2 linked regions of the Drosophila melanogaster genome follow. Changing the gene in region 2 together with the main gene of any one other region gives a genetic interaction. Each region holds a gene or a part of one and is shown on either strand. Other genes may lie near its edges.

Region 1 (4,948 bases), on a different chromosome or scaffold from region 2:
ATATTAACCATGTTGTAAATAAGTTCCATACTTCTTTTTAATATATATTGTTTTAGGAGTAACTGCGTCGAAATTTCTACCAGTGCATTGGCCTAATTGAGAAACTAGCTTCAATACCAAAATTGGCTCATTGTCCTGGCCATAAAAGGCACACACACACTCAAACACACCATCAACGCGATGTAATAAAAAATCGAAACAAAAAAATAACTAGGCAAGAAAAACGTGCCATGCCTCGAATAATGAAGTTAATAATAAAAATGAAAAGAGAAACATTTGCCGCTAACGATAAACCAAATTTGTACAAATAAAAAAAATTAATAAACAATCGGCGTGCGCGTTTCTTTCGCTGTGTGTGTGCGTGTGAGTGAATAACTAAGTTTTTGCCACCAAAGTTGGATTTGCCATGCCATACTAATACTATACCCATATGTACATATGTACAATATATATGCACAAACCGAAATCGTAGACATAGCAACGGGTTTATATTTCTGTACCGACGACTTGCCAATTAGCAACAAAAGTTCTTGCGGTTGATTAATTATTCTAAAAATTCAATAACCCCACCTACCCGTATGAGCGAATGACAGAAAATAATAATAGAACAAAAAACTGTTTTTAAGGTCAGCACGGGGAGTGAAATCTGCATTATAAATGTCGTTGAAACACGCCTTTTTGTTGTACACGCATACGTTTGCACTTTGTAAAGAGGGCATTTCAAATATGTTTTTTTTCGAATATTACCTTGTTTTTTCTGAATTACTTTAATTCTTAAATGTGTAAATTTCAATTCCGATTAAGCATTAATCTCTGTATTATGTTTCATAGTGACCACTGTACTAACTCGCTGTATGTATGCATTACTTCTCCCATTGTTGTTGTTGCTGCTGCTGCTGCTAAGTGCGTCTAGTAATTTGCTGATAATTATCAACAAATGGGCGCTCACGCACATTCAAATGTAAATTAGGCAGTAGAGAGGGTGGGAGAGAGCGACTAGAGAAAGAGAGGGAGCATTTGGTCCGGGCAGACGCAACAATAGCAATAACAAAAGCAACGCATCGCTCAAATCTCATGCGATGCAGTTGCCAGCGAGAGTTTTGTTGCTAATTACATACACACATCGATGGCCAGCCAGTCAGAGTGCAAGTGCGTCTGTGTGTGTGTTTGATGAAGGGGAGTGGGGGCGGTTAACTTCAGTTGGCAACTGTGGGACCAATGTACAGCAAAAGAGGCTGGTACAGTGTTCAAATTAAATTGATTTGATTGACGACAGTTTTTCTATCAATAAAAAAATTTAAAAAAAACATCTTAATACAGCAATATTGTTTCCCGTGCACCATGATTTTATTAACTCATTTGTGGTCCACTAATTTTCATATACTAATCATGATTTCCCTAATAAAATCCACCAAAACCAGTAACTTTAATGGTTAGCTAATTTCAGTAGCTGATTTTCACCCCATTGTTTTTGTTTACAAAAAGGCAGAGCTTAATTTGAATTTCAACATTTCACATTTAACATATCAATGATAAAGAATGCATACATACACACGCACATATTAATTCTAGGAGCTATTGTTACGACTTTTTTGTATTTTATGAACAATATGATGTGCAAATGTTTAAATGTTGAGGCTTAGGGTTTATTTAACAAATGAATAGAATTTCTTGAATACAAATTTTGTGGCCTGACCAGCTACAACAAATACACACGGTCACACTGAGACCCACCGCTCTCTTGCCAACTCTCTAATTCCCAGAGAGCGGGGGTGTGCTGGTATGTGTATGTGTGCAAGTTGTGGAAATGAATGAAGCTCTGCTTGCCAACAACGTAAAAGCAAGTGTAAGAGCAAGCCCGGAAGAGGGGGAACAAGAGAGAGAGAGAGAGAGACTGGGGAAGTGAGATGGCGAGAACGGAAGCGGGAAGGGAAATACAAAATTTTCCAATTGGCAAGCACATACAACATGGGGTAAAAGAATTTCGCTTACCGTTTTTCGCTTATTGACGTAGGCGTCCGTTTCTCTCTGTACGTATATGTTTACGTGTATGGGTGTTTATTGCTGTTTTTCTCTTTTATTTTATTTGCTCGGCTTGTTTTTGTTATGCAAAAGGCATAGACTTTTTCGGGTTTTACACGTTAAAAACACAAACACTTTAAAAATTATTTAACTGCTCGCTAAGCCGTTGGTTCTCGCTCTCCCGCGCTGCAAATGCACTGCAAACAAAATGTTGGATTATGGCTGGCTGGGCTTTACAACTTTTCCACGAGCAAAACAACGCACGACTGTGGAAAACGCGAACCGACGAACCGAAAACCGTGAAAAGTGTTCATTCATTGAGGAAAATTGAAATGAGCGCCTAGCATGTGACTCTCTCGCGATTGCTCTCTATGTCTCTCTATCTCTCTTGCCCACACTCGATTTGGGGGCCAGTGTTGCCAACTCAGAGCATAGAGCAGAGCCCAATGCCAATAAGCCGAATCGGGGAAAAGGAGTAAGCAAAGCAAAAAGCCCTGCCTCAGATACTCCAATTCTGATTCGAACTTATTAATTATTTAATTGGGATTCTCGGGCAGCAGTATTGTGGGCTGGCAACACTGCTCCTCTGCACAGACAGCGCGTCGACGTCAGCGTGTTAGTGTTTGTGTGCGTGCTGCGCTCGCTCTCTTTTCCTCATTCACACTCGCACCCTCTCTGTCGCACGCGCATTTTCGATTGATTGTTGTTGTTATTATTATCTTTATACGAGCTTAATCCAATATTTAGCCAGTATCTATGCAGCCCAGTTTGTTTTCCCAGCTCTCTGTTTCACTTGTTTTCACACCTACACTTGTGCGTGCGCTCGCGTTTGTGTGCGTAAGTGCCTTGTATTTGCAAACGAATTTAATTTGCGACACCTAAAAATCGAACAAATGTCGCCACAAACCGTTTTATTCACACAAAAGCCTGCAGGCGCTGCCCGATTTGGCTATTATTGGGGTTTTGTGCGCGGGGCACAAGAGCAATTCACAGGAGCTCCACCTTCCGACATCCGCGACACGTCCGTGCGATTCCGAGCATGAAGTGAGAATCTGCTGGAGACCATTTGCCCCATTTGAGAAAATACCCCCAAAGTGGGACCGTTGGCCGGATTGGGCAAAATCTTACAAGTTGCGTGGCAAAGGCGAATGATACGGTTACACTGGCGCCGCGAGCGGGTGCAACCAAATGTTGTAACTTTTCGGTGATAGAGCGATATATAAATAAATAAAAATTGTAATTGCTTCTTAACATTTACTTTTAGCATGGTTTGCGAATTTATACAAAGATTGTATGAACTGGCTTGTGTACAATCTATCGTTAAGTTAGTCAGTACACGAACCTCTACAGTTCTACACTTCAGTCTGGCAATGCCCAACGTTCTTAAAAATTATGAAATTGTGGTAGCACTGAAAAATATCTGCCACATTTATATTCATTTCTTGTAGAGTAAAGGGGTGTAATATTGCTATTATTGTTTTTAGGTTTTATTGTTTAAGTTAAGTTACTTATATAATATAGTACTGTGTGCAGGAACTTCGGCTGTGTAGGTTGTTTATGATAATCTTCTTTGAATGCATTATTTACATGTAGTAACTTAGTCCAATGTTGTTCAGTTGTTTGGATTATAATAAAAACTAGCATAGTATTATTTACAATTTATGTTACTTTCTTTTTTATTAATATTTCGATTTTATGGAATAGGACAGTTCCTAGGAAATGTGGCATTTATAAAAAGATCAAGGCATCTGTCGGTCTTAAAGATGGTCTGTTTGGTTTAAATGTTACATATGAGATTAGTTCTTAAGATTTGGAGAGATGTCCTTGATTTGATAAAAGGCGTGGAAGAAAGTGTTTTCGAAACTGTAAGGTATATATATTCCGTCTGTCTTGATTTTCCTTCCGTCGAGATTTAGGAAACTTTAAAATCAAAGCCAAGTAAATGTAGATGATTTATATAATCTTAAATAGGTAAGGTAACACTTAAAAACAAACGTGTATCAACAAAAGTTTTTACGAATACGTAATATGCATAATATGCATAGGCATATGCATCCCAGAAAATTTCACAACTATTAAAACATTTAATAAACCAAAATACATTGTTGAAGGCTGTTCAAAATAATCCCCAGAGTAAATAAAAGCTAATGATTGGCAAGCCAAATTTTAAGTGTGACAATAGTCATTTAATTTAAGTACCGCTCCATTTGAGCTTGAGCTTAAAAACTTCTCATTAAACTCAACTTTCTTGAGTGGATAATTTATGAATGCACTATCCTCAAATGAGACCGCTCATATGGAAGGAGCCGTAAAAAGTGCAAACATTCATCAAATTCGCGCCGGAACTTTGGAAATATGAAAACCGCGCTATGTGATCCGTGCACCTGGTGCCGTCTAGCGACATAAATTACGCATACGTCGTGTTAACCGTGGGAAAACATATAAATGTGTTTGCACCCACGCGACAGCGGCAAAAAACAAATTGTTGTACCTTCTGTTGCTGCTGCTATTATTGCCATAACTTTGGACTTTTATTAGCAGAAAACTCTCGGAGCGAATTTTGGCTCCATCAACGAAGAGGCAGCATTTCCAGTTTAATGAGCTGAAAAGTGCAAGTTGAGATACGCAGGTCCCGAAGTATTAGGTTCATTTGATTAATTGGTGGAGCTGGAAAATTTTGCGGCCTAAGTCTTAGTTTTCGAGCACATCAGTGCACAACATTAGAGAATCCATTTATAAAGCTTATAGCAAAACTCTAATAATGATAGCTGCAAAGTGATTTACAATTCTTGAATTAAAATCTATTACTTCTAATTCCTCTATAAATAAAATATATTTAAGTATCCAACAATTTACACTATAAAATAAAAATGACAGAAGTTATAAAACCATGTAAGATATATGCTTATTGCAATAACTTAAAAAA
Region 2 (4,756 bases):
GCTGCTGTGGTGGCGGTGGTGGTGGAGGCGCCTGGTTTTGGCTCTGATTCTGCATAATTGCTGCTGGCTGATCGGATTTCTGCTCCAGCTTTGCCTCCCCTCCCACTCCTGGTGTGGTAATTGCGACCGCACTAACAGGTAGAGCCGTCGCTGAGGCGGTGGCTACCTGTTGGCTGCTTCCTCCGCTAGCTACTGTTGTGGTGGTGGTGGACGTGGCCACAGATCCACTGCTACTACTACTACCTGCCGCCTGCGTGGCAGTGGGCACCGGAGGAATCACCGGACGTGCCAGTTGATCCTCCAAACTTCTGACCTTCCCCATGCTGGGCGCCCGTACGTTGATAACCTTGCGGGCGGAAAGAGGTGCCGAAGCTGAGGCGGAACCAACGTGAGCCGAAGTGATGCTTATCTGGTTGAGGCTATGACTGCTGCTGTTGTTTTGGAGCAGTTGCTTTAGAAGTGCATTATCCTCCGCTGCCGAGCGTTGGTTGTTCATAGGTGTGGCGTTCACTGTAGGATTGGGTGTGCTGGGATTCGAGGCAGTTGAGGTAGATGTGGCCATTTGAATTTGATTGGCGGACTGATTTTGAACCTGGTTAATAGCCGTCATTGTGGCATTGGCGTTCAAACGCTTCTCCGGCGTGCCGATCTCCTCAGCCCGCTCCTCACTGGTCGGAGTACCAGTGCTATCCTTCACAACCGCCTCCTGTTTGACCAGTAGCTTTGCTTTAGATTCGCTGCCAACTTCTTCCAGCTTGACTACGTCCGGAGCCAGACTAACGCTGAGTTTGGTGGGCGTATTGGCGGTCGTTAGTTTCAGCTGCATTGAAGCTCCCGAGGTAGCTGATCCGGAGTTTGCAGAAGATCCCGCCTTGTCTGCACTAGAATCCTGAATCAAAGCATGATGCATCTGCAGCGCCGCCTGACTGGACAACGTGGTTGTAGTTATCATCTTCGGTTTTTGCTGGGCCATGGTCGTCTTGGACAGCACCAGGGATATGTTCTTGTTCTGAATGGAGATTATTGGCCGCGTGCCCATCATCGGACTGTTTATGCAGATGGTCCCCGCCGAAACGGAAACGGTGGAGGTGGTGGCCAGATCTGAGGCATTCCCCGAAGCCATGGTAAACGTCACGGGTGTGCCTGCTCCACTGCCTACCGCGGAGATTGATTGGCTTTGAGCAGCCTGTGAGTGCTGCTGCTGCTTAAAGATGTTAAAGCTGGGTGGACAATTGAGTGTATTCTTGTCGAGCGGCTTAATCACCACGCTGTTGATGTTGGTGAACTCCTCCGGGCCTCCAGTCGATTCCTGGGACTTGCTCTTGTTGAGAATTTTTTGAAGGTTCTCCGAGTAGGCTGTAATCTTTCGAGGCGCTGGCGCATCGTCTTCCGAATGGGCCGCAGGTCCCACAGTTGCGGAATCCTGAACCATTGCGTACGTTTGGCTGGGGTTGGTGGTGGTGATAGTCACTATGCTGCCTGTGGGCGGAGCCAGGCCTCCACCACTGGTCACCTGCAGCTGCTGAAGCTGCTGCTGCTGTTGGATCTGTTGTTGGTGCTGCTGAAGTTGCAGCATCTTTTTGCTCACCACCTTGGTGGCCACAATTTTGGTGTTCGCCGGCTTGATCTGTAGCCCCGAAAACGAGACAATGGTGCCGCTATTTTTTGGCCCGCGTTTGATAAGTTTGGTAAAGTTGTGATGTGCATGAGAATGGACGTGCGGGTGGACCTGCTGACCACCGCTTTGCTGCGCAGCACTCATTACGGTAGTCACCTGACCGCCCGGCTGCAGCAGTTGCTTGCTCTCTACAATCGTGGCTCCTCCGGCTGTGGCCGCTCCACTAGCGCTCATCAGCGGCTTGAGCAGCGGCACCGATATAGTCTTGTTGCCAATCGACACTTTCGCCGTGGTCTGCGTTACTTCCGACAGCTTCTTGGCGTTAACCATCAGCTGGGTTTTCATCTTGGGGTGAAGATTCACCCGGTTTAACAATGTTGTAGTGGGCGTTTGGCTACCAGTGGCCGTGGTATTGAAGATGTTGTAGTTCGTGTGACCGGATTTCTGTGTGAGGATTGTAGTGGTGCCGGCTCCACTGACTCCTGCCGTTCCGTTGTTAGCGTTTAAAATAATGGTGGAGGTAGTAGCTCCAATAGGCGTTCCTGCTGGTGTTCCCGTTCCGGTGGAGTTACCCACAGATGTAGAGCTATCCGCGCCGCTGGCTGGCATCAGTACGTAGTCGAGGTCCTCAGATTTGCCGGAGTTTTCAGCATGATCCTGCCCCGAGCCACTGGGCTCGATGGAAATGACGGACGCGGTTGACGATGATGACGAGGCCGACGATGAGGCACCCTCCTTTTTGGTAAAGCTGGTAAAGGCTGTGTTTCGGTGTAGCAAAGGGTTAGATTGACTGTTCCTTGGAGTGCTGATTCTGTACTCACTCTGCTTGTCAGCGTCCTCCGCCTTGATGGCACCCATCTCAGTGCCGGAGCCGAAGTTGCACACTATGATCTGCTGATCGCGGGCGTCCCAGACGCCGTCCGCCGTCTCGACATCCTGCGGCTCCGACGCAGCTTTTACCTGCGCCTTAGCCTGCTGTCCACTCCGCTGGTAGAGGAGCTGCTGCGGCGCGGTGCTCGACGCTTTGGCGGGCAAACTGGGCGCTGCCGTTCCAGTTCCGAGAAGCAGCTCCGTCTTGGCCTTCTTGCGCGTGGGATCCTCCGCCGGAGTGGCGGTGTCGTCGCCGCTGCGCTTCTGCAGGCTGACCGCATTGAAGGCAGCGGCGGCCACGGATGCTACTCTTTCGGGTTTCGCCTTTTCGGCGGCACCAAGCGATGTTGTCACCTTCGGTATATTCATAACAAACACACAAGTGGAAACGCGGAACGCCGGATGCGATGCGCTGCGTTTCGTGGGACGGGAAGGGCGGCGGTCTAGCTAGCTAGGGCTCGCGCGGCCTGCTTTTTTTTTTACCGAGCGAAAACATGCACGATTAGTCAAAAAAATTTTATTTTCGTGTATGCAGAGCAGTGTTACCAGATGGTAAAACGACCATTACCCTGAAACGTTCTTACCCATCCCTGGTTTTCCACTCAGAAACCCACCACTTTTCCCATCCCATTTCAACATATCGCCATGGCGGTTGCAATCGAATAACGTTTGTACAGCAATCATTTTTCGTTAACTTCAGAAGTTTTTAATACATAACATAATTATTGTGTTCCACGTGCAATATGGCACATTTTCAACTGCAAGAATAAACCATAGTCTGGACAGGGCCGTCAGCTCACTCGACCAATCGGTGGTCTATCGATATATGTTTTTAGCACCACATTTATTAGCTCGATCTGGCAACGGTGGCCGTTGATGCAACACATCTTTGCACAATACAATTTTATAAATAAGTAATATATTTTGACATAAACTCACCATGCTCTCATTAAAGTTAGTCTCCCAGCTCTTTAAGCAAAGCCTTGCGTGTAAGTTGCAGTGGCGCTTCCTGCCTAGCCACATCCAATCCGATAACAGTTTGCAACAAACCACTTAAACTTTTCTTTGCAGCGGGCAACATGGCAATTGTCAACACAGCCGGTCTTAAGTATTTCGCTCCGCCTATTAAATACCAGAGTAAGTAGTTGCATTTAAATGTGCACAATGAATTTAGAGCAATAAATGAATGAATGTGGGAACCCCCAGATGTGGAGCAGCCGGAGAGACCCAAGCTGAGGGTCATTGAGCGCCAGCCCCAGCTGCCGCCAAACATCCGTCCGCCAAAGATGCAGAAGCGCCTGCGATACATGCGCGGTCCGGAGATGGTGCACAACACGCTGCTCCATAAGCAGTACGCAATCGTGGCCACTGGCGGAGGGCGCCTGCGCTGGGGCCACTACGAAATGATGCGTTTGACCATCGGACGCAAGATGAACGTCAACACTATGTTCGCCACATGGCGCGTTCCCGCACCCTGGCAGCCGATCACTAAGAAGGGCCAGGGCCAACGGATGGGCGGCGGAAAGGGAGCCATCGACCACTACGTGACCCCCATCAAGGCCGGTCGCGTCATTGTCGAGATAGCCGGCAAGTGCGAGTTCGTTGAGGTCAAGCAGTTCCTGCAGCAGGTGGCCAACCAGCTGCCCTTCCAGGCCACCGTCGTTTCCCAGGAGATGCTCGACGAACAGCGCGTCGCCGAGGAGGAACAGACCCGCCAGAATGAGAACCCCTTTACCATGAAGTACGTGATCCAGAACAACCTCAGCGGCTGCCACCGTTGGCTCTCGCCCGTGGACCACAAGTGGTTCGGCAAGCACCTGTAGATGTATAGCTTCAATTAATAAAGCCATCCTTCGTTAATCTGTTACGAAACTGTTTCAAGTACTTTTGAAAACTGGAAATATCTTAAAGTAGGTTCGAACTTCGAACTTAGGGCTCGTTGTTCCAAGCCGTGACTCTGCGGCACCCAATTGTGGAGCAAATAAGAAAAACGCCATATGAAGGGAAATGTACGAGTTCTATTGCAAACATTTGTTTAATTTTCCATTTCGTTTACGTGGGTAATATGTAATGCATCATATAATATGTTTTTCTTGCCGTTTCGTTCGCATTATAATAAATGTATAATATTATGCATGTATGCGTGTGTGTATGCTTTGTCGCGGGGTATGGTGTGTGAGCAAATAGCCTTCTCCCACGGACTTCAGTTCTGGAAGCAGAACTTTGACCTGCCGCAGCTCCTCGTATTTGTCAAGTAAAATCCACACC

What was found. Genes that interact genetically often act in the same process or in processes that back each other up.
Region 1: of trr (region 2) and cic, changing one suppresses a phenotype caused by changing the other (phenotypic suppression), as found in Drosophila melanogaster (one study listed by BioGRID).

Annotation. Positions count from the first base shown.
Region 1 is NT_033777.3:20,250,898-20,255,845, reverse strand, and holds the start of cic (capicua), read right to left. Parts: upstream 3,077-4,948; 5' UTR 1,993-3,076; intron 1-1,992. UniProt on the Drosophila melanogaster protein: Transcriptional repressor required for the specification of numerous cell types during embryonic development. Required for terminal patterning of early embryos.
Region 2 is NC_004354.4:1,886,919-1,891,674, forward strand, and holds the start of trr (trithorax-related), read right to left. Parts: upstream 3,033-4,756; 5' UTR 2,858-3,032; coding exon 1-2,857. Other genes in the region: mRpL16 (mitochondrial ribosomal protein L16), read left to right, coding at 3,429-3,477, 3,560-3,625, 3,695-4,311. UniProt on the Drosophila melanogaster protein: Histone methyltransferase that acts as a coactivator for the ecdysone receptor during development. Specifically trimethylates 'Lys-4' of histone H3, a specific tag for epigenetic transcriptional activation.